7 linked regions of the Nothobranchius furzeri genome follow. The protein of the gene in region 1 purifies or fractionates together with the protein of each later gene. This does not show direct contact. Links are inferred from orthologs where the notes say so. Each region holds a gene or a part of one and is shown in the gene's direction. Other genes may lie near its edges.

Region 1 (2,958 bases):
TCCTGGGTTTACACAATGGCTGCCTTTTGTTTGGGTTTCAGCATATTACACATCCTACCATTTGTCATAGTATTTGTCACCTAAAGTCCTCTGGAGCAACTCGAAGCCCAAACTCTGCTTGATCAGACAACCACAATGTAGGTTATCACACCCAAAGTTCACAGCTAATCTGGCGACAAGGACAAGTTCGTCTTGCACAACACGTCCATTAATGACCTTATTATTAAAGCTTTAAAATAGTTTTATTGTGTGAACTTCATCAGCTTTTCTTTTCATAATTGTCTAAATAGCAAGTCGATCAATTACAATACAAAAACCAAAAGAATATTTTAGGGAGATTATATCACTAAGACTCTAAATTATCTTTTTCTATTAATAAAAGGAATGAGAGTTTCAGAATTGGTACGGTCCACTTAAAGGCTGGCTAGTTAAAAATAGGATTCTTCCTCATAAATGACAGTAACGCTGACATGGTGTTTCTTTGCTGCCCCCTGCAGGTGATGTCCATGGTCAGTACTATGATCTCCTCCGGCTCTTTGAATACGGAGGCTTCCCTCCTGAAAGCAACTACCTGTTCCTGGGGGACTACGTGGACAGAGGGAAGCAGTCCCTGGAGACCATCTGTCTGCTTCTAGCTTATAAGATCAAATACCCAGAGAACTTTTTCCTGCTGCGTGGCAATCACGAGTGCGCCTCTATTAATCGAATCTATGGTTTTTATGATGAGTGTAAGTGCAAAAGATGTCTGTGAATAATGAACAAGTCAGAGTTGGTTGTACAAATGCTGCAAATGTTTCTTTTTCTTTGCTGGTAGGTAAGCGACGGTATAACATAAAGCTGTGGAAGACCTTCACAGACTGCTTCAACTGTTTACCTGTGGCTGCCATTGTAGATGAGAAAATCTTCTGCTGTCACGGAGGTAGAGCTAGTGAACGTGTGCTTTACGGATGATGAAATATGAACGACTAACAAAACCTGATGTTCTCTCTGCGTCGTCTTTAGGCCTCTCTCCGGACCTCCAGTCCATGGAGCAGATCCGCAGAGTAATGCGACCCACAGACGTGCCTGACCAGGGTTTGTTGTGTGACCTGCTGTGGGCAGATCCAGACAAAGACGTCCTGGGTTGGGGCGAAAACGACCGTGGCGTCTCCTTCACATTCGGAGCAGATGTGGTGGCCAAATTTTTGCACAAACATGACATGGACCTAATATGCAGGGCGCACCAGGTGATGTTTGAGTGGTTTTGTGTAACTCGCCAGGAAAGCTCTGCTCCTGTTAACTTTGATCTCTGCTTGTTGTGGGGGTGTTATTGGGACATGAGTCAACACGCTGTGATATTGCGTCATCTATGTAAATTTAATCCTTTGAGGACTCTAGTGGCTTCTTCATTCTTCTAGCACTGATTCATTCGGACTTGAGTCACTTTTATGTTCCTCGTGTTTTTACTGGGATGCACCCTTCACAGGGGCACACAAAGGTTACGTACGGTAGTTCCTAATTTAGCTCAAGTACAACTGTAATGTAAGAACTGCAACTCAAACATTTCACAAACGTGTCGGGGAGGAAAATCTTTTTCCCTGATTATGTTTAATCGTTCTCACCTGGACCTGAGAAACCCTACTAGTCTTTGTTCTGACACTTTTATTTCTGTGCTAAGGTCGTGGAAGATGGTTATGAGTTTTTCGCAAAGAGGCAACTCGTCACTCTGTTCTCAGCGCCCAACTACTGTGGAGAGTTTGACAATGCTGGTGCCATGATGAGTGTGGACGAGACGCTCATGTGCTCCTTTCAGGTGGGTAAACACACGGCCTGTTTGTTACTGCTCCATGTAGCTTAGCTGAGTGATCTTCGTATCATTTGTGTGTGTGTGTGTGTGTGTGTTTCCTAGCTCCTTGTCAAACGGATGTTTAACATATTGAACTTGACAAATATTCAAATTGGGACTTTAAATTAGAAGAAATTGTGTTTGCCATTTTAATGTGGATCATTCCTTCATCTGTCTTGCAGATTCTGAAGCCAGCAGATAAGAAATTGTATTCTTTCGGAGGAGGAGGAGGAGTGGGATTAGGAAGACCGGTCACTCCTCCAAGAAATTCAGCCAAGGCCGCTAAGGCCAAGAAATAACACCTGCTGAGTTCCCTTCCTACAACCTTTTCACCCTCTGTTGGCCCAACTTTCTTTTTCTTTTTCTACCTCCTAATCTTGTTTCTCTTAGTTACCGAATGGCAACAAAGACGACCAGTGTCCAATGTTCATTCGTGTGTTATATATATTTTGTTTGTTTCTAAAACAAAGTTCAAACGTTTATCTGGTTATTTACGTGTGTGTGTGAGAGGGAGATGTGAGAACGACACAAAGGGAGTTGCTGTATTCTGTACGTTTTATTTCCCTTCCTCTTGGTCTTTCTGTTGGTTGCAGAGACGGGTTTGTCCCACTCATCATGTAAATCCTAGCCTGGCTGCAGGGGTGGGAGAGCACAGCGCTGACTGATTATGTTAAGGCCAGGCACTGTTCAGCATTACTTTCATGCTTTTGTAAATCATGTTTCACGTATTCATTTATGTCTTTGATGGGTGTGTGTGTGTGTGTGTGTGTGTGGGGAGATCATAGATCAGGTTGCACAGCTGGAAGGTAACGGCACAGGTGGATCTATAGAAGTGCAGGTTAATGCTCGAGTTTGATGAATTCACAATAAGATGACTTATTTTTTTTTCCTTCTTCCAACTTGAAAATCGTTTGAGATGACATGGATGTGATGTAGAGTTGCTCTTTTCTTCAACCTAATTTTTGTTTTATTTTTGTAGATAACTGAAATGAGTATGGTTTTATTTTCCTCTTTCTTTTTTTTAGTTTATTTGAAGCTGAAGATGAATAAAAAGTAACCATTTATTTGAATACGCCATCATGCTTATCACTTTGTTATATCTGTCGCTCAGTGGTTGGTTTCTGTTGTGGTTT
Region 2 (3,985 bases), on another chromosome or scaffold:
GCGAGCAGCCCCTTCTTCTCTGCGATGCAAAAAATGACCAGAAATGTACATATAGCACCCTACTGCCACCTACTGGAGACTTTTTATAACAATATGTGGTAATAACAAAAAAACAAAAATAAATAAATAAAATAAAATAAAACTTTAAATGTAATGAAAAGTCCATTGTTTTAGGATGTGGAATAGTTTTTGAGTTGGCAATGTTTTTATACTCCTAAAATTGTTTTTAAAGTATTATAAATGCATCATAATCATTCAAATATAACACAGGTTTATAAATAACTATCAAAAATACCCTTAAACCAGACTGAATAAATATATTATTTTGCAAAGCAAACGTTTGGTCTAGTTCACTAATAAGATATAAACAGCACGTATACGTCGCATTTCAGTCAACTTTGAAGACATATTGACAATAATATTGTGTGTTTCTCAATTACAACTCTTTTCGTAATCATTCTGATTATTATGGCAAAGTTTTACATTAATAAATTTAAGTTCAGGTGCACTAAACCATGCATTGTTGCTTTTGAAAACAAATTCAAACAACACATTTAATGTGTTCAATCTTCTGAAAACCCCAGAGCAAATAAAAATCTAGAGGTCTGTATGAGGTTAATCCGCTTTCAGCAGTCCTTTACAGCGTTTGAATTATAAAAATAAAAAAATGTCGATAAATGCATTTAAGTGTATTTTTGTATTAAAAATTTACATGTATTTCTTCATTTGTTTTTAATTATTGATTTTAATTTATGTACGGTGTGCTTCTGATTATTGTCTAACATGAAAACTTTTGTTATTTTTGTTCATTTTTGTTTTGCTTTTGATGTTACCTATAGGCTGCTGTAAAGCACATTAAGTTACCTTTGTATAGGAAATGTGCTATACAAATAAAGCTGTCTTGTCTTGTCTTGGCGGTGTGCAAATTAATTAATTTAATGATTAATATGTCCTTTGGCTGAAATAAAGAATATTTGAAAGAGAAAAAACACGTCTAAAACTCCACGATGCAGAAACTGCTTTAATAAATAAGCTAGATTCGGAAAATGGGCTGCATGGTGGCGCAGTTGTTAGCACTGTTGCCTCGCAGCACGAAGGTTGCAGGTTCGAAACTCGGCTGCGGCCTTTCTGCGTGTTGCGTGTTCTCCCCATTCATGCGTGGGTTTCCTCCGGGTACTCCTGTTTCCCCCACAGATCAAAACATGCCCCATACGTTATAAATTGCAAGTCACTTTGGATAAAAGCCTCTGCCAAATAAATAAACATAAACATAAAATAAAAAAGCGTATGCACGAAAAAACAAAAACAATACAAAGTTGATGGAAGTTAATAGAAATTATTCCTTCAAATGCCATTTTATTTTATGTTGAATTAAGTTGTATTTTGTTTGCGGTTCTGCTTCTGAGTTTTTACATGAAAAAGTAAAAGATGGTTGCAAAGTAATTTAGATGTTTTACAAGCCGCATTTGCACTCAGGCAATCTCATTAGATAGCTGCAGGGTCCTAATTGGCAACACCCTTCCAAGATGGCAGCGAACGGTAGCAGCACGGGTAGCAAGTCCAGCAGCAGCGCCGGCGGAAAACAGTCCGGACTTTCAGCTGAACAGGTACTCTCAATTATATAAAAAGGTTTCATTTGTCGTTACAATTATTTCTGTTGTTGTTTGGCTCAGTTTGGTAAAGCAGAACTAAAAGTATAGCCCCTAGCTAGTCTAAGCTAACATTAGCATTCCTGTCGCGATCATCTGGCTCAAAACCCAAATTTGGACATCGGGAACCGTTAGGAGTCTAATAAGGACATTATGAGAGTTTACATCAAACTCTTACTTCTAACAATTTTTACGTTAGTCTATGTATTTACGGTTTTGAAATAATGTGTTTGGTTTGGTGTGACTAAGCATAAAGCTATTTTTGTCCACCTAACCCTAATAAATTATTACTCAGACCATATTAAACAAATCACTGCTGTAATGTCTGTAATACAGTGCACTGTAGTCCGTAATATATCCTTTAACAACAATAATGGCAACATTAGAGTCGAGCAATACCTTCAAATATGTGTCAAAACCTTTATTGATCAGGTTTTACAAAAATAATAATAAAATGTAAATATTGCCATATTGTATCATAACCTTTTTGTTATTTTCTTACATATAAAGTCTATGACTCTGCGTAAATGGTGATTAAAACCATCAAATAAACAAAGTTTATGTCCACTACTTCTAAAAAGTTGTAGATTAAATCTGATAATAAAATTAAACCTTTACCATTAATGAGTTGCTGCATTATGTACATTTATTTAATAATCTTTTAAACAAAATTGTAATATGCTAATTACCAGTTATGACTTTAAGAGTTTGGTTTCAGTAGACAACTAAGGAGTAGCAGCATCTGTTTTTTATTTATTTATTATACTTAATAAAAAAATGATCAAATTCCATTTGTTTTCAGGTGGTAGCAACATTTCAGAGGATGCGTCAGGAGCAGCGTAGTATGGCTTCGAAAGCTGCTGAGCTGGAGATGGATGTCAACGAGCACAGGTTGGTGGAGCATCATCTACATTTATGTTCTAGACACAAATGTTTCACAAGATTTTGTAGGGGAAACAATCCAAAAGACAGACCGTTTAATACCTTTGCTATTTCTTTTCATATTTAGTTTAGTAATTGAGACCCTAAAGGAAGTGGATCCTTCCAGGAAATGCTTTCGTCTGGTTGGAGGAGTGTTGGTGGAAAGGACAGTAAAAGAAGTTCTACCAGCCTTAGAAAACAACAAAGAAAAGGTAATGTTATTTATTTCGGTCACAGGAATGATCAGGAGAATAAACTGAGACATTTTAAATCACTTATTTAACACCAAAATAACAATAAGTGTACATCGAGTTAATCTACATAATTTCACAAGAAAGAGTTTTGTTTATAGGTTTTGAAGTCAAAAATAAACGTTTAGGTGTCAACTGCAGGATGTTTCGTTTGTCTGATTTCTCATCCATCTTCCTCTGTTCTAATAGATTTCCAAAATAATCGAGACCATCAACACACAGATGCAGGCAAAAGGACAGGAGCTCACAGAGTACAGAGAACGTTACAATATCCGGCTGGTTGGAGAGGGTGAAGGAGAGGCGCAGGGCCAGTCGGCAGCAAACTCGCAAGACAATGAAGGAGGAGGATCCAAAAGTGGAGCAGGAGTTCTGGTCTCATAATGCTTTGAGGATGGACAGGGACAGCAGTGCCCTGTTATTTCTGCAGCACTGAAGAAGAAATGAAAACTAGCTCAAGTCAAGGAATTTAGGTGGAAAACTGAACTTTTCATAATGTTCCTTTTAGTTTTCTTGTTTAACTGTAATTTCCTGGAAGTTGTAATAATCATGGTCATCTGCTTCTCTGTTCAGTTGTTTATGTCCTCATTAAGGTCATTTGCCTTGCAGATGTTTTTTAAAATGCTGTCATACATTCAGCAAATAAATTAAAATGCCATAAAAAGGATTTTGAAGTTGCTGACATAAGTAAAAACATTTATCTTTCTCATCTAGCATATAAATCCTGTTGCACTGGGATGAAATTTTTAAAGACATTAAAAAAAAGTTAATGTCAGAATTAGATCCTTTTGCATTGTCATTAAGCATACACAATCGAAATTTATTGGTATGTCAGCTTTGAAAACGCACAAAGCTTTAAAAATGATGTACATTTTTGCGAAAAGGATGTAAAGGACTGAAAAACAACAAATAATTAAACGTGACTCATGAACAGGAGCCAGTACACAAAAGGAAAAATGGAGAAAAGGAAGAGGTTTCTCATGCTCACCAGATTATGTCATTGCGGCAGAGCCTGCCTCAACTCGACAGTACAGTGAGCTCTCACTCGGTTTTTACACTGCACACACTTCCAAAGCTTTACGGAAATAGTGCTTATGAACGCTTTCAAAGTAAAAGCCAGTCTCTGAAACGTGTTTTCAGACTTATTTCAAACGAACCATTCTAGAA
Region 3 (3,186 bases), on another chromosome or scaffold:
AAACACTGTAATCTCACATTGAGGACTTCCTCCTTAAAGTAACACCAGGCAGTTTCCTGCTCCCTCGCTCTACTGGTTGAAAAGTCATAAACAACCCTGCTGCAGCTAGCGCTAACAATGAGCTAACACTAGCATGAGCCAACTAATGCTAAAATAAACCATAAAGTATAAAGATCCACACTGTTGGAGAAAAATATTATTACTTACAAGTCCAGTAACAACAGAGCCAGGTCACCATCATTCCGTGATCCTGTAGCTTCCTTTAGCTCCCTCAAACTAGCATAGGCCATGCCGATGTTCACTCTGGTTGTAGCTCATTGCTTCACCTTCAACGACATTACTCTCTTACTTTTACTTCCAGGCTCCACCATGATGCCAACAGAAAAAAACAAACTTCTTCTCTTCTTCTTGTACTTTTTATTGATGATCGGCGAACTGAAAATGCTAATCGCTAGCATTACAGCTAACAGCCATAAAGCAGGTAAAGAGCGCTCCCTAGGACACCTACCCGCTCCACAAAACTATCTAGTGTGGTTTCTGGTTAGCCGAGGGCAGCAGAGTGGTGTCTAATATGAAACTGGACAAGTTTCTAACTCAACAATCACTGAGATCAATGTTAAAGTTCTAGTTTCAAGTTTAATAAACTCGTTAGTGTTACTTTAAGTTGCCCACTTTTTAAAAATCAACCCTTTGCATAAAAGAGGCACTTTTTGATTTATTAAAAAGCATCACGTGATGCCTTCTCCCCACTACAGCACAGTAACAGAAGTCTATTACCCCACTGGTTTTTGCTGTAAAAAGTTGTGATTATTATTCTATTTCTTTTCTGTCCACAATGAGAACTAAAAGTAAAGTAATGGCAGGAAATACTTTGATCATCTCAGACAAAAAGATCATCATAAAAACTGAGTGTAAATAATCTAATTATTCCTATTAGATCAAACGTGAGGGTTTTTGACCTCTTCAGTCCTTCATGGTGGCATTCTGCTTTCATCCTTCTCCAGTTCTTCTGTTCTCTGGAATGAACGTCTCTCGTTCTCACAACGATTCATGCTCCGTTTATCTGTACATCTCCCGTCATGCAGCAGGGCTTGTGGCCCGTGTTGACAGGCCGTGACGACGAATCTTTTAATCGATGCAGGTGGGCCGAGGCGCTCAGGGCGGCTGTAGTCAGACGGCAGCGGAGGAGGGCTGGCTGACACATTTGTTACTGTTGACAGCGATCTGATGAGCTGCCTCCTCAGTCCCTTTCATCCTTCTGCAGAGAGCTGGCAGCAGGAGCACACGCCCGCTCGGCCTCCTGCCTTTTGTTTCACTGATGTGATGCGAGTTAAGATTTTTGGTTAATGAGGTTGTTTTTGCAGAGACAAGGCCGCTGTGACACGTTTGCAACAGAGTTTGACCTGGAAGCAGAAGAGTATGTTCCACTGCCTAAAGGAGACGTCCACAAGAAGAAGGAGATTGTCCAGGACGTCACGCTGCACGATCTGGATGTTGCGAACGCTCGGCCGCAGGTACATGGCTGCTCTAATATTATAACCTTAATAATAATGATAAGTAATATTAGAGTAATCACACTGTCTGGTCCCAGGGAGGTCAGGATATTCTCTCCATGATGGGACAGCTGATGAAGCCCAAAAAGACAGAGATCACAGGTAGGATGGCGAAATCGGACCGTTCACCTGAGCTGAACATCACGGCGTCTGACATTCGGTTCTGTCTCCAGACAAGCTCCGCACTGAGATCAACAAGGTAGTCAACCGCTACATAGACCAGGGCGTGGCTGAGCTGGTACCCGGGGTGTTGTTCGTGGACGAGGTGCACATGCTGGACATTGAGTGCTTCACGTATCTCCACCGCGCCCTGGAGAGCAGCATCGCCCCCATCGTTGTGTTTGCCTCCAACAGAGGGAACTGTTTGATCAGGTGAGACGGGTCAAAGGAGCGGATGTAAACGTGAACAACGGTTACAGATTATAATCTTTTTATTTCTTTACCAGGGGGACGGAGGACATCAGCTCTCCACACGGAATTCCTCTGGACCTGCTGGACAGAGTCATGATCATCCGTACCATGATGTACACGCCGCAGGAAATGAAGCAGGTGAGTCTGGGAGTCGCTGTTGGATTGGTGGCTTGTCATAAGCTCGGTGGCTCTAATCAGGCTGCTGTTGTCAGATTATTAAGATCCGAGCTCAGACGGAGGGGATCAACGTCAGCGAGGAGGCTCTGACACATCTGGCCGAGATCGGAACCAAGACTACCCTCAGGTACCTTCTTTGTTCTGGAGCTGGTCTAAATAACCGCCATGATGCACGTTTTTCAAATCTTAGAATCTTCTCCCAGTTTGTTTCTACTTTTATAATATTTCTCATTTGCTCCCAGGTACGCCGTCCAGCTGCTGACGCCAGCCAGCCTTCTGGGCCGCGTTCAGGGAAAAGAAACCGTGGAGAGGGAGCAGGTGGAGGAAATTAACGAGCTGTTCTACGACGCCAAGTCTTCAGCAAAAATCCTCCAAGACCAGCATCACAAGTTCATGAAATAAGATTTACCGACCCTTCCACAGATCGGGCGTGTTTCCGTTGAGTTCTTGTCACTGACCGTTGTAGTTCTGTTCAAATAAATGCTAAATTTTACTTTTTTTTTTTTTGTTCTTTAAATTTTTTGGAATAAAATCAAAAAAGCACATACTGTCTTGGTTTCTTTAATATGTCTCACATAAAACACTTGACACTTGTTGCGTGACCTGATTTTTTAAATTCTCACAATTATAACTAAATCTAAAAAGTTGTGAGATTACCGTTGTAGGGTTGGGCATCGATTGGAACCGGTGTAATCGCTCAACGTTTTTTTATTTCGATTCCTAGAATGCCGACGGAAGAGGAATCCGCGGCCGATCTCTGTGAAAAATAAACGTGATCTGCAAATTGTGATCAACGCTTTTCAGAGCTGATCACACCATCTGTGTGTGTGTCTGCCGAACTTTTACTCCGTAATGTAAACTTTAATTCCTGCAGCGTAGAGGAAACTTGTTAAATACGTCAACACGGTGGATTTCATAGAAGCTCTGTTCATAGAACAAACTGTGGACGGTGTGAGGTGAGTTTGTCTTACTGCAGAAATAAAAACACACATCAGCAGTCAGACACGTGAGCGTCAGAAGGCTGAACAATAACCTGTAGAATAAT
Region 4 (3,500 bases), on another chromosome or scaffold:
ACACCACAGTCTGCCTATATTCAACAACAAGGTAAATATGGATTAAAATTCTAGAACCCCTTTAAAGAAGAGCAGTTGTCAGAAAGTGTTAGCTCATAAACCTGGTGTACTCATGATACTCCGTTTTGATCAATAACAAAAGAGTTTGATTGGGACTCAGTTCCAAAACTTAAAATCAGATTAGATCTTTGCCGTTAGAATCTAAAATATTGTACTCACATTAATTTAAAGTGAATTTTGGGCATCCACTGTGCTCTTATTTTCTGTATTGTTTGTGATGATGATCCTCAGCATAAATATTTATTTTATGTTGTTTGTCCCCTTTGTGTGTCAGCCAGTTTCAGTTGTGGCCTTGGCTAACCCAGTGACCCTAATTGACTATTGATGCCTTTGGCTCAAAGTTGCAGCACTCTGTTGTGTTACTCTAGTTTTTTTATTCGCCATATATGGATCTTTCTGTTGCAACTGTGGCAACACTTCAAGCATTTGCAGGATGATTAAAAATAGGCAAGTCCTTTCCTGTCCATGTCTGAAAATACTGAAAAAGAAAGAAACAAGTATTTAAAATCCAGCCAAATTGCTCTTGTCATCACTTATTTGCACCAGTAAGTGAGCTCACGCTGAGCTGTATGTTTGTCTACGTGTGCACACAGACGTTTCTCACGGTTTGAGGAAGTGCAGAGGCGTTATAGAAATTGCAGTGCTGGAGTACGTAGGCAGATCTTTCTTTCTTTTGCACACAAATGCACACTCTGTTAATGATGATACAGAATCTGTCTTGAGTTATAGACATTCTGGGGAAAGAAACCCTGTTTTTTTCTCAGACCTCTTATCTTTTTATGTCCTCATAATTCAGTAGCCTGATTATTTTAAGCCTTTAGTGATTGCATAGCTGCACATACTGTACAGCTTGTCCCTTTAACTGCCAGCTAATGTGGACTTTGGACCTTGACTCTCCCTGCAAGGAAGTGGAAGGAAAGGCATTCCCAGAAGGTCTAATGATATATTGTGATGTCATAGACCGAGGTTGACCAACTGGGTATGTGTTTATGTGGTGTACTGCTTTAACCCTGCAGATCAAGAATGGTTTGGGTTGAACTTCTAGAACCTTTACAATTATTTGTAGAGGTGTCCCAAACTTCTACAAACAATATTTCTGTCATTGTTTTTTAATTGTATATTCTCTCCAAACATTTTGTTATGAACACCTGTAAATGTGGTTTTATCTGTAGGAGACAAAGATGGCAGCAAGGTAACGACAGTCGTGGCCACCCCAGGCCAAGGCCCCGACCGGCCACAGGAGGTGAGCTACACGGACACCAAGGTCATCGGCAACGGGTCGTTCGGTGTCGTCTACCAAGCTAAGCTCTGCGACTCCGGAGAACTAGTGGCGATCAAAAAGGTCCTACAAGACAAGAGATTTAAGGTAATAGATGCGTGAAAGACATGTGCGTTCACTAATATACACTCAAATGGCTTCATTTTCATCACCTTTTCAAACAACGTAACCAACCATGAAAGAAATTAACCTCAGTAATGGATGTAACTGAGTAACTGAGTGAGATGTAACTGGAGCGATCTATCTCACGAACAGGGAGATCAGAAAAGCTGGGGAACGAAAGAAAACAAATGAAAATGTGCATTCAACACGACCCTACATGAAAGAGTATGTATGTGTGTGTATTCATAAACGGAGGCCCCTAACTTCCTTTTTACAAATAAATTAGAGCGTATTAATGCTTTCATCAGGTTTAATTCAGGTGACACCTAGGATACGTTATTTATCTCTCCAAGTTGGACCCTGCTGCTGTCATCCTACTCCTGTGCTATCAACAGATTTGACTGATGAGTTGATGTTTCTTTGCTGAACAACTCTTGGCTTAGCGCCTGCATGAGCGTGTTTACATGGACATAAGTCTCCAATTAGAGGGTGATACTGGTTTTAATTGTTCTGGAACTATGACGTGACAAGGAGCCCAGGCTATGCTTACAAATATTTGCTGTGTGCAATAAATGCTAAAATTGCAGATTACTTGCATATGTCTCCTGCAACCAGTTATAGATTTAAATGGGTCAACCTTTTGGGCATCTGCACTGTTATATCAGACACACATCAACTATGATTAATACCATCTAATACAAAAGCCCTGCAGTAACCATAAGGAAGTTGTTTTGTTGTCATTTCTGTAATTCAGCAGAGCCTAAACCTGCAGCCTGGAAAAATATCTAGTTAATCAACATTTTCATTCAAAAGTAAACTCTGGAACCTTGCAAAAACTATTAGTTATTCTAAGGTTGTTTAAGCTGCTTTGGTTTTTGCATCCAACAGTTTTGAGGGTTTTTGAAGTTTTTTATTAGAATCATTTTATTCTAAATACAAAAAGCTATTTCTGTCCATCTCAAGTATCATCTACCTAGAGTTCTGAATAGATTCAGCTGATAAAGTACTTTCTAGGCAATGATGAAAATTATTTTGTGGTGATTGTAATAGAGCACATTTTCCTCTCGACAGGGTCTCTTTAGTAAAACTCTTTACATCATCAAAGAACAGCATGACCGTTTTCATTGGAAACTTGATGTAAGAAACAGTTTCCGTCTGGTATTTTAAAGTCATCACACCAAGACCACCGTCAAGCCTGCTTTATGAAATTAAAATAGTTTTTGTAGACACTTCTGTCAAATCTTAAAAACATCAGTTTAGTATTTAGAGTATGCTTCTGGAATGACTATGGATTTTGAAATGAAACTAAATATGAATGGAAATAGACTTGAGGTATGCCTATTTTTGTTAGTCATCCTTTTGCAATTGCAATAAAGCATAATCATTTATTGCATACTGAAAGTTTTAATAAAGACAAGGTTCACTTGTTTTTTCAGTGTGTCTGCAGTGTTTTCTACTATAAATGAGTCGATCTCTATAGGGATAAAGCTCTGGCGCTCCTGTTTCAGGAAGTCAAAGGTAGCCAGAGCAGAGGGCAGCAGAAGATGAAAGGATTTGGAGTCTTACTGATATCCAGACATCTCACCTCTGATTGGCTAACAGCAATGCTGCTCTACTGTAGGGTTGTCACGGTATGAAAATTTAACTTCACGGTTATTGTGACCAAAATTATCACGGTTTTCGGTATTATCGCGGTATTTTTTTTAAACGTGTTACATTTTCAGACAACTAAATAAACCCTGTATATCAGGAAAATATTGTCCTCAGTTTGTGTCTAAATTTTGCCTAAAATTTGTTATTTTATAATTATGTTGTTTATTTGTTTACATTTTTCCCCTTTAGTCTTTAAAATACCAATATTTGCCCATAACTTCTTATTTTTTGTCTGTTTGATGTCATCATTTTAAAAATATTAGATCAGATGATACTCCGTACTCAAGTAGCCTTCTACTCAGTTACTTTTTTTACCCTTACTTGAGTAATAAACCCTATAGAGCTCCGGGAGTTAACGTCACTTCTCCCGGCATGCAACAGTTCAAATCGAAACGGCGCCATATTG
Region 5 (4,006 bases), on another chromosome or scaffold:
GTACTGATACTTTTGACCCATAAGAGTAGAAATATGAGTTCTCATGATTAGAGGACTAGGACAGTTGGGGTCAGTTTCATTTCTAAAATTGTAAATAAGATTAAAATACATCTGCATGCAAATCCCTTCCCTGACCAAGGTCAATGGGGCTGAAACCTGTTTTTATTTGACTAGCCATGAAACAATAAAGTATTTCTACCATCTTCATTTTCCTGATGGCCTCAGACCTCTTTTTTCTTAAGCTATACCTGTATGCCTCAATAAAAGAACACCTGAGGTATTCACAATCTTTTTACATCCCATAAGCACACCATACATTTTTGCTGTTATTGTAGATGCTGCTTTTATAACCAGACACATTCATGAATGAATGTGTATTCTGATTGTACATTTCCATTTTAAATGTGTACACTTAATAAAAATGAAATAAAAACATAAATACAATAACAAGGTATTTTAATAAAATAAAATTATATATATGTGTGTGTGTGTGTGTGTGTGTGTGTGTGTGTGTGTGTGTGTGTGTGTGTGTGTGTGTGTGTGTGTGTGTGTGTGTGTGTTGAAGAATTTTCTGGTGTGAGACATTCATCTCAAAGTTTAGTGAGTAGTTTTATTTTTTCAAAGCTGTAAAGCTGGTAAAACTGCAAGTAGGAAGGGTGAGGTTCCCATTTTCCCATAAAAACACTAGCTGGTTTAAACTTTTCTAGTTTTATAGTGAGACGATGAGCTTATTGAATGTTTTGTGGTTTAAATGTAGCCCATCATATAAAAAATGAATTAAATATATCTGTATAAGAACAAACTCCATGGAATTATATTATATTATATTATATTATATTATATTATATTATATTATATTATATTATATTATATTATATTATTCCAACAGACCGCTTCTTGAGTGAGTCGTGGCAGATGGCTGCTGATACTGAGCCAGGATCCTCTGGAGGTGTCTTTCCACTGTTTTCTTCTCCACTGTCGCTGCATGCTTGCTTAGTATGAGGAATGATGTACGATGCAATTTGCTGGGTTCCTTATATAGGAAACTTTTTTCTGATTGGCTTAATGAATTGGAATGTTTATGATGTGAAGTGCCTTGAGACGACTCTTGTCGCTATTTAAATAAACTTGAATTGAAGTGTTTTATTTTGGAAATATTAACCGGAAGTCTGCCTGAAACTTCTTCCGTGTTGCTGTAGAGTGCATGGCGCAGCGAAAGTGACGAGGAGAATCTGCTAATCTTTGGGATACCGAAACCGTGGATTTATTTGGGAATAATGCAGAAATTCTGAAGTGAGTGTGTGAGATGAAATCACCTCCGAGAGTGTGGACAACCATCACTGCCCCTTTGATGAATACGTGCAGAACGGGTCTCAGGAATAGCGTCTGCTGGATTCATAAACACTTCTTTAGGACTCACAACAACCCCTGAGCTTTGTTTTTGTGGGTCACAAAACGCACAGATTGACCGTTTTGCATGTGAATTGACGATGACTGAAGGTGGGAAAATGAATTTGGAGCGTCTCGGTGGAGTTGCGAGGCTCCGACAGGAACACGAGAAGGTAAGTTTTGGTGTTTAGGTGGTGGGCAGAACCCGCGAGGCCAGCCGAGCCACGCGGTTGGATCATTTGGGAGTGTTTAAACCACGAGTGGGTCAGCTGAAGAGCTTATTTCTTCTGCGCACAGACGCCTCTGCACGACACTGGTTACGTCACATGTCTCATCTGTGTTTTTAGGTTACCTTTAGCTTCCTTCTAGAAGTTTCTTACGTTCAAATTTAAGCCTGGAGGTGTGTTTGGCTAATTTTGTTTACTTGCACACAAGTTTCACTTGTGTGGAAGTTTTAAGATTTTGCTTTGATTCATTTAGATTATTGTCTAATGCAAATCGGGAAGTCCTATGCCCCCTATAACAACTCAAAAGGTCACCGGAAGTTATTAGAGCTTGACTAAAACTAAAGTTCAGACGTGAGCCAGCTGTTTTGTTGAAGAGAAAGCAAAAGCTTAGCCTTTTATTTTGTTTTTGACAGTTTTTTTTGGGGGGGGGGGGGGGGGAGCATTTGTATTATTTAATAATACAATACTAATAATTATATACATTTAATTTCCCTTTGCCAACACAACTTTATTAACCTATTTATTACAATTGAGGGCGTTTATGAATTGAAAATTCCCAGTAGGAATAAATATATGTATTATCCTGACATCAGATTGTGTTGACCTGAATTTGTAAACAAACTAAAATGATCTGTCCTAAAACAGGTGGTGAAAGACTGTGAAAGTCGGATTCAGCACTGGTAAGCATCCAAAACTCACAAGAATGTCTCTAGAAAAGGTTTGGAATGGTTTTCTACTTTATTCTAATGTAATCCTGAACTATATTACACTGTGATTAAAGTATTTTTTGAAAATGTAATCTGAAAAGGTGTTTTTTCCCTTAACTTTGACACTTAATAGATTTGTGATTTTTTAACTTGTTTTTTGTTCTACCAATTAGATCACCATACACTTTGTTTAGAACAACCATATGACACCCTGATGGCCCAGTTTACTCATGAGATCACTAAACACTTAGAATTTAACAACTGAATGACATCTTGCTGGGCCAGTTTACCCATCAGATCACCATACACTTTTAAAAAACGTATGACACCCAGACTTGTATATTTTTTAAAGCTCTATTGTAGGAATGCAATGATACCACTTTTTTCCAAACCGATACGATACCGATACTTGGATCTGAGTACTCGCCGATGCCGATTACCAATACCGATACTTCTACCACACGAAAAAATGCAATGATTTGGAATACAGATTGTATTTTCTTCTCTGCTTTCAACAGGAGACGACTGTGAGGTAGATAAAAAGTAAAATATATGAATGGAAATCATCACAAAACTAAAATATTAGGTGAACAGAAATGACAAGTTACAGGGAAGCCATTTTCAAGCAACTGCATTGGTATCGGTTCCTGGTATCAGTTAACTTTTACCGATACGATACTGGTACTGGTATCGATACCAGTATCATATCTGTGCATCCCTACTTTATTGTCTAATTTTATTTTTATTTTTTTTAGAGATAAAAGGTGGTAAAATAAAAATAAAAAATTGTGATACACATTTATCAGTCTGTTGGTGTGGATGGTAAAACATGAACACAACTGGAAATAAACTGCAAAACACCAGTGAATGTGCAGCCACTCAGTTATCATTAAAAATATAAATGACTCACTTTTTCTCATACTTTGCTGTCTGTATGCTGAACTGACGGCTGCTAAAGTTAAAGTCAAGTTAAAGTCCCATTAGTTGTCACACACACTGATGTGACCCATCCCCTGGGGGAGCAGTGAGCTGCAGACACAGCTGCGCTCGGGAACCATTTGGTGGTTGAAACCCCCAATCCAACTCCTTAATGCTGAGTGTCAAGCAGGGAGGCATTGGGTCCCATTTTTTTCTAAGTCTTTGGTATGACCCGACCAGGAATCGAACCCTGATCTCCCAGTCTCAGGGTGGACATTCTACCACTAGGCCACTGAGCTGGCTCAGAATGCAGAGGAGGTTTAGATGATCGTGCATAAACTGCATTCATGCTGCTCTGATATGTATGGTGTTCTGTCCGAACACCAGTCCCCAGTACTCCTTAAAGTCCACCAGTTGGTTTTAAGGTTTGGTGTGAATCAGGTTTTAGTTAAAGTTAGTTAGGAATAGATCTGCATTGGTTATCATTACTGTGCAGGTATGGGTTAGGCGTAATGCAGTCACAAAAATGAATGGAAGTCAATGGAAGCCCTCACGAACAAAGAAAGACAAACATGCATTTGTGCTTCTACTGGGGACAACAGCTCTCCAAAATAACTTGAGAAGGATGCTGAGAAGTGATTGAATCCTGGACTTAATGAAAGGACCAGAAGAGTGTGTGTGTGTGTGTGTGTGTGTGTGTGTGTGTGTGTGTGTGTGTGTGTGTGTGTGTGTGTGCACGTCAAGACAGTAGAGCTCTTTACTCAA
Region 6 (3,500 bases), on another chromosome or scaffold:
TCATAGTGCTCTATCTGCTTAGTGAACAAATCACAGAGCTTTATCCGCTTTGTGGGCCAATCAGGGCACTCGATATGCCTGGTGGGTGGGATGATGCAACAGAGTGAAACAAGAGTATGTCACATTCATTGTCCAGTGGAATGCGGAGATCATTTGAAAGACAACGGTAGAACCCGCCCCACAACCGAGAGCCGTCAATGGAGCATGGCCAGACTAAATAATACATTTATTTAGTCTGGCTTGCCAGGCTAGCTGATGTTAGATTTTACGTGGAAATGAACCATACAGATTAAAAGTAGTCTCTAGTCAGAACACGTCTCTGCTGTTTCTGATCACAGATTACACACTAAGCAGAAAAACACACGAGCTTGCATTTATATAGCGAACATTTTCTGTGTTTTCTTCACTGTGTCATCCAAGTAAAAACTGCAGAAACAGAGGATAATGCTCCGACCCACGTGAGAAAGTCCAGAACTCTGGGGGGTGGGTGCAGGCTAACAGCTGCAGCTCTGAGTCAACTTAATGACTTTAATATGATTATTATGTTTTATGTTAATTATTTGTTAGTTTTAATATATGTAAGTTCTAACTTTGTCTTTCTGCCTGTTTGCTTTTTTTACCCTAATTTTTTCAGGATGAGATCCTCAAGGCAGCGGTGATGAAATATGGGAAGAACCAGTGGTCTCGTATCGCCTCCCTGCTTCACCGCAAATCTGCCAAACAGTGTAAAGCCAGATGGTGAGTTTGTAGCCTTTCTACCGGGACACGACACCGACCATTACAAAGGTTAACTACTTTTTTGGGCTGCATGGTGATGCAGTTGTTAGCACTGTTGCCTCGCAGCAAGAAGGTTGCAGGTTCGAAACTCGGCTGTGACCTTTTTGCGTGGAGTTGCATGTTCTCATCATGCATGCGTGGGTTTCCTCCGGGTACTCCGGTTCCCCCACACATCACAACATGCCCTATAGGTTATACGTTGTACGTCGTTTTGGATAAAGGCGTCTGCCAAATAAGTAAACATAAACATACTTTTCTGTTGTAGGTGTGTTCAGTCCGACTACCTGAATCACTCGTCGACGGTGTTTCTGTTTGCAGGTACGAGTGGTTGGACCCCAGTATCAAAAAAACAGAGTGGTCCAGAGAAGAGGAGGAGAAGTTGCTTCACTTGGCCAAGCTGATGCCGACTCAGTGGAGGACCATTGCTCCCATCATTGGGCGCACTGCTGCCCAGTGTCTAGAGCACTATGAATACCTGCTGTACAGTTTCAATTTTTACACTCATTTGCTCTTTGCTACCAGAGAGGAACTTTGCATTTATGGCAATTTACAGGTCAGGGTGACAGATGTGCTTTTGTCTTCATTTAGAGATAAAGCAGCACAGAGAGACAACGAGGAAGAGGTGGGAGATGATCCCAGGAAGCTGAAACCAGGAGAGATCGACCCAAACCCTGAGACTAAACCTGCCAGACCTGACCCCGTGGACATGGATGAAGGTGAAATCACACACTTCATTCTTTCACAAGCACAAAATAAGTTTTTGTTCTGCAGCATTATTCCTCTCATCTCTTTTAGGAACGTTGGTTTCTGTGCTAATAAGTGGGTCCGATTAGCAGCAATAGAAACATACACACGACTGTGTTTTTGTCTTTGTAGATGAGCTGGAGATGTTGTCAGAAGCCAGAGCTCGTCTGGCCAACACGCAGGGCAAAAAAGCCAAGAGGAAGGCCAGAGAGAAACAGCTGGAGGAAGCCAGGTATGGCCAATTCCATCCATTAACATCCATTCAGGGGTAGCCCTGAAATCCATCAGTGCATAACAAACAAATATTTGTCCTTTGTTTTACTCTCATTCTGCTGCAGGCGCCTGGCTGCTCTGCAGAAACGCAGAGAGCTGAGAGCAGCAGGAATCCACGTTCAGAAGAAGAGAAAGAAGAAGAGAGGAGTGGACTACAATGCTGAAATCCCCTTTGAAAAGAAACCTGCACCAGTAACTATTGATGCTAATATTTATTCATTCATTATTTAAGCTACAGCCCAGTGTCACCAACGTCAGACTGTGAGTTGGATTGTAAATTATTTTTGTTTCCTGTTAGGGTTTCTATGACACCAGCATGGAGCAGTACGATGCCCTGGAGCCACACTTTAAACGACTCAGGCAGCAGCACTTGGACGGGGAGCTACGCAAGTCAGTAACAACACACACTCTGCTTTTATGCATCAACTGAATCTGGAGTTCTCACTTAATCAGTTGTTTACATGTAGCGAGTCTGAGGAGAGGGACCGAAAGAAAGATAAACAGAAGATGAAGAAGAAGAAAGAGAGCGATCTGCCATCAGCTATCCTGCAGACTAGCGGAGTGGCAGAGTTCACCAAGAAGCGCTCCAAACTGGTGTTACCCGCCCCACAGGTATGCTCCAGGATCACAGCAGTGTCTGAGCTCGGATGCATCTGGTCCTAACAGATCAGCGATGTTTGTCTGTCCTTCCTCTGGTTTCAGATCAGTGATGCGGAGTTAGAGGAGGTCGTGAAACTGGGAGTGGCAAGTGAGGTCGCCCGCCAGGCTGCTGAGGAAAGCGAAGGTGGGAACTCTGCTTCCTCCACCCTCCTGTCTGAGTACAGCATCACCAACAACATGACAACTGGACTACGAACCCCACGCACCCCTGCTGCACAGGACAGGATCCTGCAGGTTGACCACAAACACAATGACTTTCTCACTTCATCTAAGTTTTCTGGTATTTTGTACAAATCAGTTGTTTTGTGGTCTTTATTTACTTGTATTTTTTATTTTCTCTCATTTAAATTAACCAAGCAGAAGCTTTCTTCTCTGTTTATATTCATGTGTTTTTGTGCTTCTGTTCTGTAGGAAGCCCAGAACCTGATGGCTCTGACCAACATAGACACGCCGCTGAAGGGGGGTCTCAACACCCCGCTGCACGAGAGTGACTTCAGCGGCGTGACGCCTCAGAGGCAGCAGGTCCAAACACCAAACACTGTTCTCAGTACACCGTTCAGGTATGATCTCACTCTCCTGTCTTGTTATGGTGCATCAAAGCTTTTAACTTTAGTTACAGAAAAATGTGTTCATTAAAACTATTCTTCCAGCTTTGCCAAAACAACAAAGCTTGTGTTTTGTAAACATCAGCTGATTCATAAATCTTTTGCTCGTGTAATTAAACCAGAAAGGCTTAAGTAGCCTGTTTTAATGTTGCTTTAGCTTCTGGTGCAGCAGACTGGTTATAACCCCTCTTGGTTCAAATTGAGTTTCTGTTGGAAATAGGGCTGCAACAAACGATTATTTGGATAATCGATTAATCGGATGGGGTCTCGACACGATTAATCGATTAATCGGATTACATGGGGAAATTTTTAAAAACTGCTAGGGAAATGTTATTTCTCTCCTTCCTTCACTTTATTTAACACAACATTATTAGAAAACAGTTCAGTAGCAGAAAAACAACATGCCATCACCTAAATTGTCTTATAAGGTGTATAGACAGA
Region 7 (4,252 bases), on another chromosome or scaffold:
TCCGCTAAAGGTTACTTTTCAATGAAAGTTTCAAAGACATTAGTCATGATATTATTGTAAGTATTTTATTGACACCAAGAATAAAGAACCGCAATGTTATGATGCCATGAAGATATTATTACTGCTTTTGGGGTTACATTAAACCTGTTCTAGAATTTGACTGGACCAGGTAAATAAGGAAATAGTCATCTTAAAATTCAACATGTAAAAAAGGCGAATTTTGTTATAACATGAATAATGAGCAAGTCTCCGCCTCAAGGCCATTTATTGCCCTCTAAATTAAATTTGGTTGAAACTTTGTGAGGGGAACTGCTTTTTGTTGGTTACTTATCTGACTGGGTACAGTTTCTGTGAATAATTTTCCTTTTACATGGGCTATGAATTCTGATCTATCACATACTGCTCCAATAAAACATCAACATGAATAAGAAACAAAGTACAGATAGAGAAAAAAGTAGTATAACAATTAAACTAAATATAAATGTATACTTTATCTTATTAAAAACAAAATATATCAAACCAAGGGTGACCCAACTTTTTAAGAGGAGGACCAAAATTATCTTTGTGGGCCACAAAATTAGATTTATGTTTTATTCTTTAAATGCAAAAATTGTTTTCTTTTTATTTGTTTTGGCAGCCTGCTGGAGGGAAAACCCAGAGCAGACTAGAAATACAATTTGGGACAGCACAAATCATCTCTAAAGTCTCCCTCAGAAAACAATTCGAACATTCCTGAATTAAACCCATAATGATATTTATTAGGGAGTTATGTCTTAGGAGAGCCTGTTAAAGGCTATTAATGCTAATGTTGCGCTATCCTTCAAACTGGGTTTAGAGAGGCCAAATTCACAACACAACCCTGTCAGGCAAGGTTTGGTTTCCCCACACACGTGTCATCGTGTATGTTTACACTTTTAAACAGCAAACAACAAAAAGGCAGGGCTTCTGGGATGCTGTCCACTCCACAGAGGTGGCCGCATTAAGCTAACAGGTGTTTGTAAATGGTAATAGTTACAGGGGTTCGTCATACCTGAAATGTATGGAACCTGAAACATATCTAGCTTTTTCTTTAACAATCTGGTGTGTGCTGAATGCACGAAAGGCTCTTTTAAGACCAGGGGAGCTCCGTGCAGTAGAATTAGTTGCTATGCTACCACAATGAATTATCGCGCAACTACACGTGCACAAAAAAGTCAGCAGGTAACCAAAATGGATGAAACGGTTCACTTGAACATTTTAAACTACTTGATTCACAACGATGGTGTTTACTGAATTAGAAACGTGCTATTACCTCACACATCTCACACTGAAGCTTACCGTAGTAGTAGACCACTGATAGGCTCCGCCCTCAAAAGCGTCTTGCGTCGCCCTTGCGTCTCTGCGATCCGCCCAGGTTTTTTTGTCAGCCAATCCGCTGCCAGACAGGAAGCGAGCTGCTGTTTAAAAATATTGGCGCTGGTGGTGATAGCGATTAACAGCTGCGCATTGTTAGCAAGTTGATTATTTTAATACGAGGTGCCGCTTTAATTAGCAACAAAACAGTACTGTGAAATGAGCGTTAACTGTTAGCTACAAACGGTAAGACAACATTTTCACCCGCAGTGCATTTGAGATAGAGACAAACAATGTGAACGTACCGTTGGGAATGACAGCTAGCTGGCTAGTTAGCATATGACGCTCCTCTGGTTAACGTTTTTATGTGTGTCCTATGCAAGCGTGTGCTTCGCTAATTTGCTTGTACGTTAGTATTGACAAATGTTACTTAATGGATAATAACACCAACCATTAGCACGTTTTGCAACTTTATGTTCTCATATATAAAGTAACATTTAATGTGTTTTAACGTTTTTAAATGGCACACCGGCCCGGAAAGGGAACCACCGAACCAGACAGTCGTCTACGTTTTATACAAGACAATTATTTGTCGTTTAAAGAGTATTAAAGTTGCATTAAACTACACCAATAACACAAAACAACATGGGATATTCTAAGGAAAAAATATACTGCTAGCAATAAATCAAACAATAGATTTGAGTATTGGAGTGTATTACAGAAAACAAATATACCTTAGTCAATTTACAATTTCACAAGGAGCTCCTTTAATGAGAATAATATTTATCACGATTATTTTGAACGATGTTCACTTCACATTTGGGTTGTGTTTTGCTTCAACTTATTAATGAGTTTAGCTTAAATGAATGGGAACAAAGCAGCAATCTTGCAAAGTAAATTTAGCCAATTAATAAAATATTAGTGGCGTTAGTTTGTGTTTAATTCTCTAGCAGCTTAAAATTCTTTTTTGTGTAAAAACATAAAACTAATAACCAAGTGAGACAGTAATTTAGAAAAATTAAATCAACTATTATGCTTTTTCTGTTTTGACCAAAGTAGATCAGTAATGCACAGTGCATTTATTCTGACCTCAGTAAATGTCAATAGCATGCATACATTGTATCCTCATTGTTTCACCTTTGAAATAATTTAATGCTGATTATTATACGTGCAATAAATAATACTTTGTCACTAAGTTAAACACTTTAATACACTTATATTTTGTATAAATGATTGGGATTCTTTATAGTCCTTGTGTTCTATAAATATCAGGCGTATTGGTGGCTTTGTGACCTGTTTGTTGCAGATTGCCTCTTTCAGGTATTATTTATTTACACACACACACACACACATATACATATATATATATATATATAGGGTTTTTGACTTTGCAGTTAGAATCCATGGTCAGCGTTAGTCATATAATCAAATGATTGCTACGGGCAAATTTGGAAGTGTTTCTGCTTAGTGAAGTAACATTTTATTTTGTTACAGCAACACTTGGATCACTGCCGAGGAACCACAATGTCAAATGATGTTTGTAGCCATGTAAAGGTGGTGGTTCGGGTGAGACCAACCAACGAGAGCGAGAGACTTGAAAACTGTCGAAATGTGGTCCAAGTTGTCGACAACCACATGCTAATATTTGACCCCAAAGAAGAGGACTTAACGTGTTTTGGGTCACAAAGAGTGCGTAACAGAAACGTCAACAAGAGGGCTAACAAAGATTTAAAATTTGTTTTCGACCATGTCTTTGATGAAAACTCCACTCAAGTGGATGTTTTTGAGAGCACCACCAAAGGTGTGTTGGACAGTGTGATGAACGGATTCAACTGCACAGGTAAAATATGACATCATTGAGTTTACAGATTGTTGCTGCTTTATGTAGTTGCATATTTTTTGTCACTCAGTGCATAGCTTTAGTAATGATCTTTTAAAAAGCAACTGTAGACTTTCTGTATTAGGAAGACCAAAATACTCTATTTTAGCTCTTACAACTAAAGATAAATTAAAACATTTATGGATACAATTATAAACATTTTTATATTTATGTCCTTTTTAAAATGTCTCAAGGTTTCCACATGTTTAATAAATAAAAGCTAACTTTTAATCCCTGCTGTTATTATAATTGTAAAGTTTCTCCTGAATAAAGTTGTGATTTCCTTAACATAATTGCCACCAGTATAAATTATCCCCTCCTTAAAATACTAAAGGCGTTGTTTTATCTGCCTAATGCTCAGACAAGGGTTGATTTCAGGGTATCCGCGGGTCCTTAAGTCTTAAAAAGTCTTAAATTTACTTTTCCAAATTTAAGGCCTTGAAAATCCTTAAAAATTACAAATAATCCTTAAATACAGTTTCCAAAGGTCTTAAATTACCAAAGACCCAATAAACTAGATTATTTTATTCATTTTTGTGAATTTCTAGTTAGTCTTCAGCATTTTTTGTGTATGATGTTGGCGTAAGCGGAACCGTACATATTCAGTTGGTTGTGAAAGGGGGCTATTTTTAGATGAGCACATTAGCTGGTTAAGCTAGTGGGAGCTTGTGCCGTGGAGAAGTGCAAGTTTAATGGTAACTGGATGATTAATCCCACGTTTGCGACATGGTTAGCACCGGTCCCAGGCATTAGCTGGAAATTATAGCAGAAATTAATTTAAAAAAAAAAAGCTTAAATTTGGTCAAAATGGCCTTAAAAAAGGTCTTAAAGTCTTAAATTTGGCTCCCATCAACCTGCAGATGCCCTGGATTTATCCATTTATATTATGTACAAACAATAATCTAAATTGGAATATTAAATTAGCAGTTTTCTGTTATTCATTTATGATTTTTGCAGATTGCATGATTTTTCTCCAATTTCCTAGTTAGGATTCTTCCTACGTTAGTGTTCACTTATTATTGTTTGCACAGATTTCTTTAT

What was found.
Region 2: the proteins of ppp1caa (region 1) and pfdn2 purify together in Homo sapiens (affinity purification with mass spectrometry; 3 studies listed by BioGRID and IntAct, with this or other methods). This does not show direct contact. The link is inferred for Nothobranchius furzeri from reciprocal best matches to the Homo sapiens genes PPP1CA and PFDN2.
Region 3: the proteins of ppp1caa (region 1) and ruvbl1 purify together in Homo sapiens (affinity purification with mass spectrometry; 4 studies listed by BioGRID and IntAct, counting the BioPlex papers as one, with this or other methods). This does not show direct contact. The link is inferred for Nothobranchius furzeri from reciprocal best matches to the Homo sapiens genes PPP1CA and RUVBL1.
Region 4: the proteins of ppp1caa (region 1) and gsk3ba purify together in Homo sapiens (affinity purification with mass spectrometry; 4 studies listed by BioGRID and IntAct, with this or other methods). This does not show direct contact. The link is inferred for Nothobranchius furzeri from reciprocal best matches to the Homo sapiens genes PPP1CA and GSK3B.
Region 5: the proteins of ppp1caa (region 1) and uri1 purify together in Homo sapiens (affinity purification with mass spectrometry; 7 studies listed by BioGRID and IntAct, counting the BioPlex papers as one, with this or other methods). This does not show direct contact. The link is inferred for Nothobranchius furzeri from reciprocal best matches to the Homo sapiens genes PPP1CA and URI1.
Region 6: the proteins of ppp1caa (region 1) and cdc5l purify together in Homo sapiens (affinity purification with mass spectrometry; 3 studies listed by BioGRID and IntAct, with this or other methods). This does not show direct contact. The link is inferred for Nothobranchius furzeri from reciprocal best matches to the Homo sapiens genes PPP1CA and CDC5L.
Region 7: the proteins of ppp1caa (region 1) and kif18a purify together in Homo sapiens (affinity purification with mass spectrometry; 3 studies listed by BioGRID and IntAct, counting the BioPlex papers as one, with this or other methods). This does not show direct contact. The link is inferred for Nothobranchius furzeri from reciprocal best matches to the Homo sapiens genes PPP1CA and KIF18A.

What each region holds. Positions count from the first base shown.
Region 1 is NC_091745.1:8,622,297-8,625,254, reverse strand, and holds the end of ppp1caa (protein phosphatase 1, catalytic subunit, alpha isozyme a), read left to right. Parts: intron 1-497; coding exon 498-728; intron 729-814; coding exon 815-919; intron 920-1,002; coding exon 1,003-1,226; intron 1,227-1,657; coding exon 1,658-1,792; intron 1,793-2,007; coding exon 2,008-2,124; 3' UTR 2,125-2,458; downstream 2,459-2,958. UniProt on the Homo sapiens protein: Protein phosphatase that associates with over 200 regulatory proteins to form highly specific holoenzymes which dephosphorylate hundreds of biological targets.
Region 2 is NC_091742.1:74,820,900-74,824,884, forward strand, and holds pfdn2 (prefoldin subunit 2), read left to right. Parts: upstream 1-1,304; 5' UTR 1,305-1,526; coding exon 1,527-1,607; intron 1,608-2,451; coding exon 2,452-2,540; intron 2,541-2,658; coding exon 2,659-2,782; intron 2,783-3,010; coding exon 3,011-3,202; 3' UTR 3,203-3,485; downstream 3,486-3,985. UniProt on the Homo sapiens protein: Binds specifically to cytosolic chaperonin (c-CPN) and transfers target proteins to it. Binds to nascent polypeptide chain and promotes folding in an environment in which there are many competing pathways for nonnative proteins.
Region 3 is NC_091743.1:48,436,484-48,439,669, forward strand, and holds the end of ruvbl1 (ruvB-like 1), read left to right. Parts: intron 1-1,364; coding exon 1,365-1,514; intron 1,515-1,591; coding exon 1,592-1,655; intron 1,656-1,726; coding exon 1,727-1,925; intron 1,926-1,999; coding exon 2,000-2,102; intron 2,103-2,176; coding exon 2,177-2,268; intron 2,269-2,383; coding exon 2,384-2,543; 3' UTR 2,544-2,686; downstream 2,687-3,186. UniProt on the Homo sapiens protein: Possesses single-stranded DNA-stimulated ATPase and ATP-dependent DNA helicase (3' to 5') activity; hexamerization is thought to be critical for ATP hydrolysis and adjacent subunits in the ring-like structure contribute to the ATPase activity.
Region 4 is NC_091754.1:24,463,244-24,466,743, forward strand, and holds part of gsk3ba (glycogen synthase kinase-3 beta), read left to right. Parts: intron 1-1,232; coding exon 1,233-1,426; intron 1,427-3,500. UniProt on the Homo sapiens protein: Constitutively active protein kinase that acts as a negative regulator in the hormonal control of glucose homeostasis, Wnt signaling and regulation of transcription factors and microtubules, by phosphorylating and inactivating glycogen synthase (GYS1 or GYS2), EIF2B, CTNNB1/beta-catenin, APC, AXIN1, DPYSL2/CRMP2, JUN, NFATC1/NFATC, MAPT/TAU and MACF1.
Region 5 is NC_091744.1:78,624,188-78,628,193, reverse strand, and holds the start of uri1 (unconventional prefoldin RPB5 interactor 1), read left to right. Parts: upstream 1-1,206; 5' UTR 1,207-1,490; coding exon 1,491-1,562; intron 1,563-2,261; coding exon 2,262-2,296; intron 2,297-4,006. UniProt on the Homo sapiens protein: Involved in gene transcription regulation. Acts as a transcriptional repressor in concert with the corepressor UXT to regulate androgen receptor (AR) transcription.
Region 6 is NC_091752.1:40,109,975-40,113,474, forward strand, and holds part of cdc5l (cell division cycle 5-like protein), read left to right. Parts: intron 1-634; coding exon 635-738; intron 739-1,095; coding exon 1,096-1,257; intron 1,258-1,365; coding exon 1,366-1,493; intron 1,494-1,653; coding exon 1,654-1,753; intron 1,754-1,859; coding exon 1,860-1,986; intron 1,987-2,092; coding exon 2,093-2,184; intron 2,185-2,261; coding exon 2,262-2,406; intron 2,407-2,496; coding exon 2,497-2,688; intron 2,689-2,865; coding exon 2,866-3,014; intron 3,015-3,500.
Region 7 is NC_091749.1:64,375,188-64,379,439, forward strand, and holds the start of kif18a (kinesin-like protein KIF18A), read left to right. Parts: upstream 1-1,452; 5' UTR 1,453-1,578; intron 1,579-2,826; 5' UTR 2,827-2,856; coding exon 2,857-3,172; intron 3,173-4,252.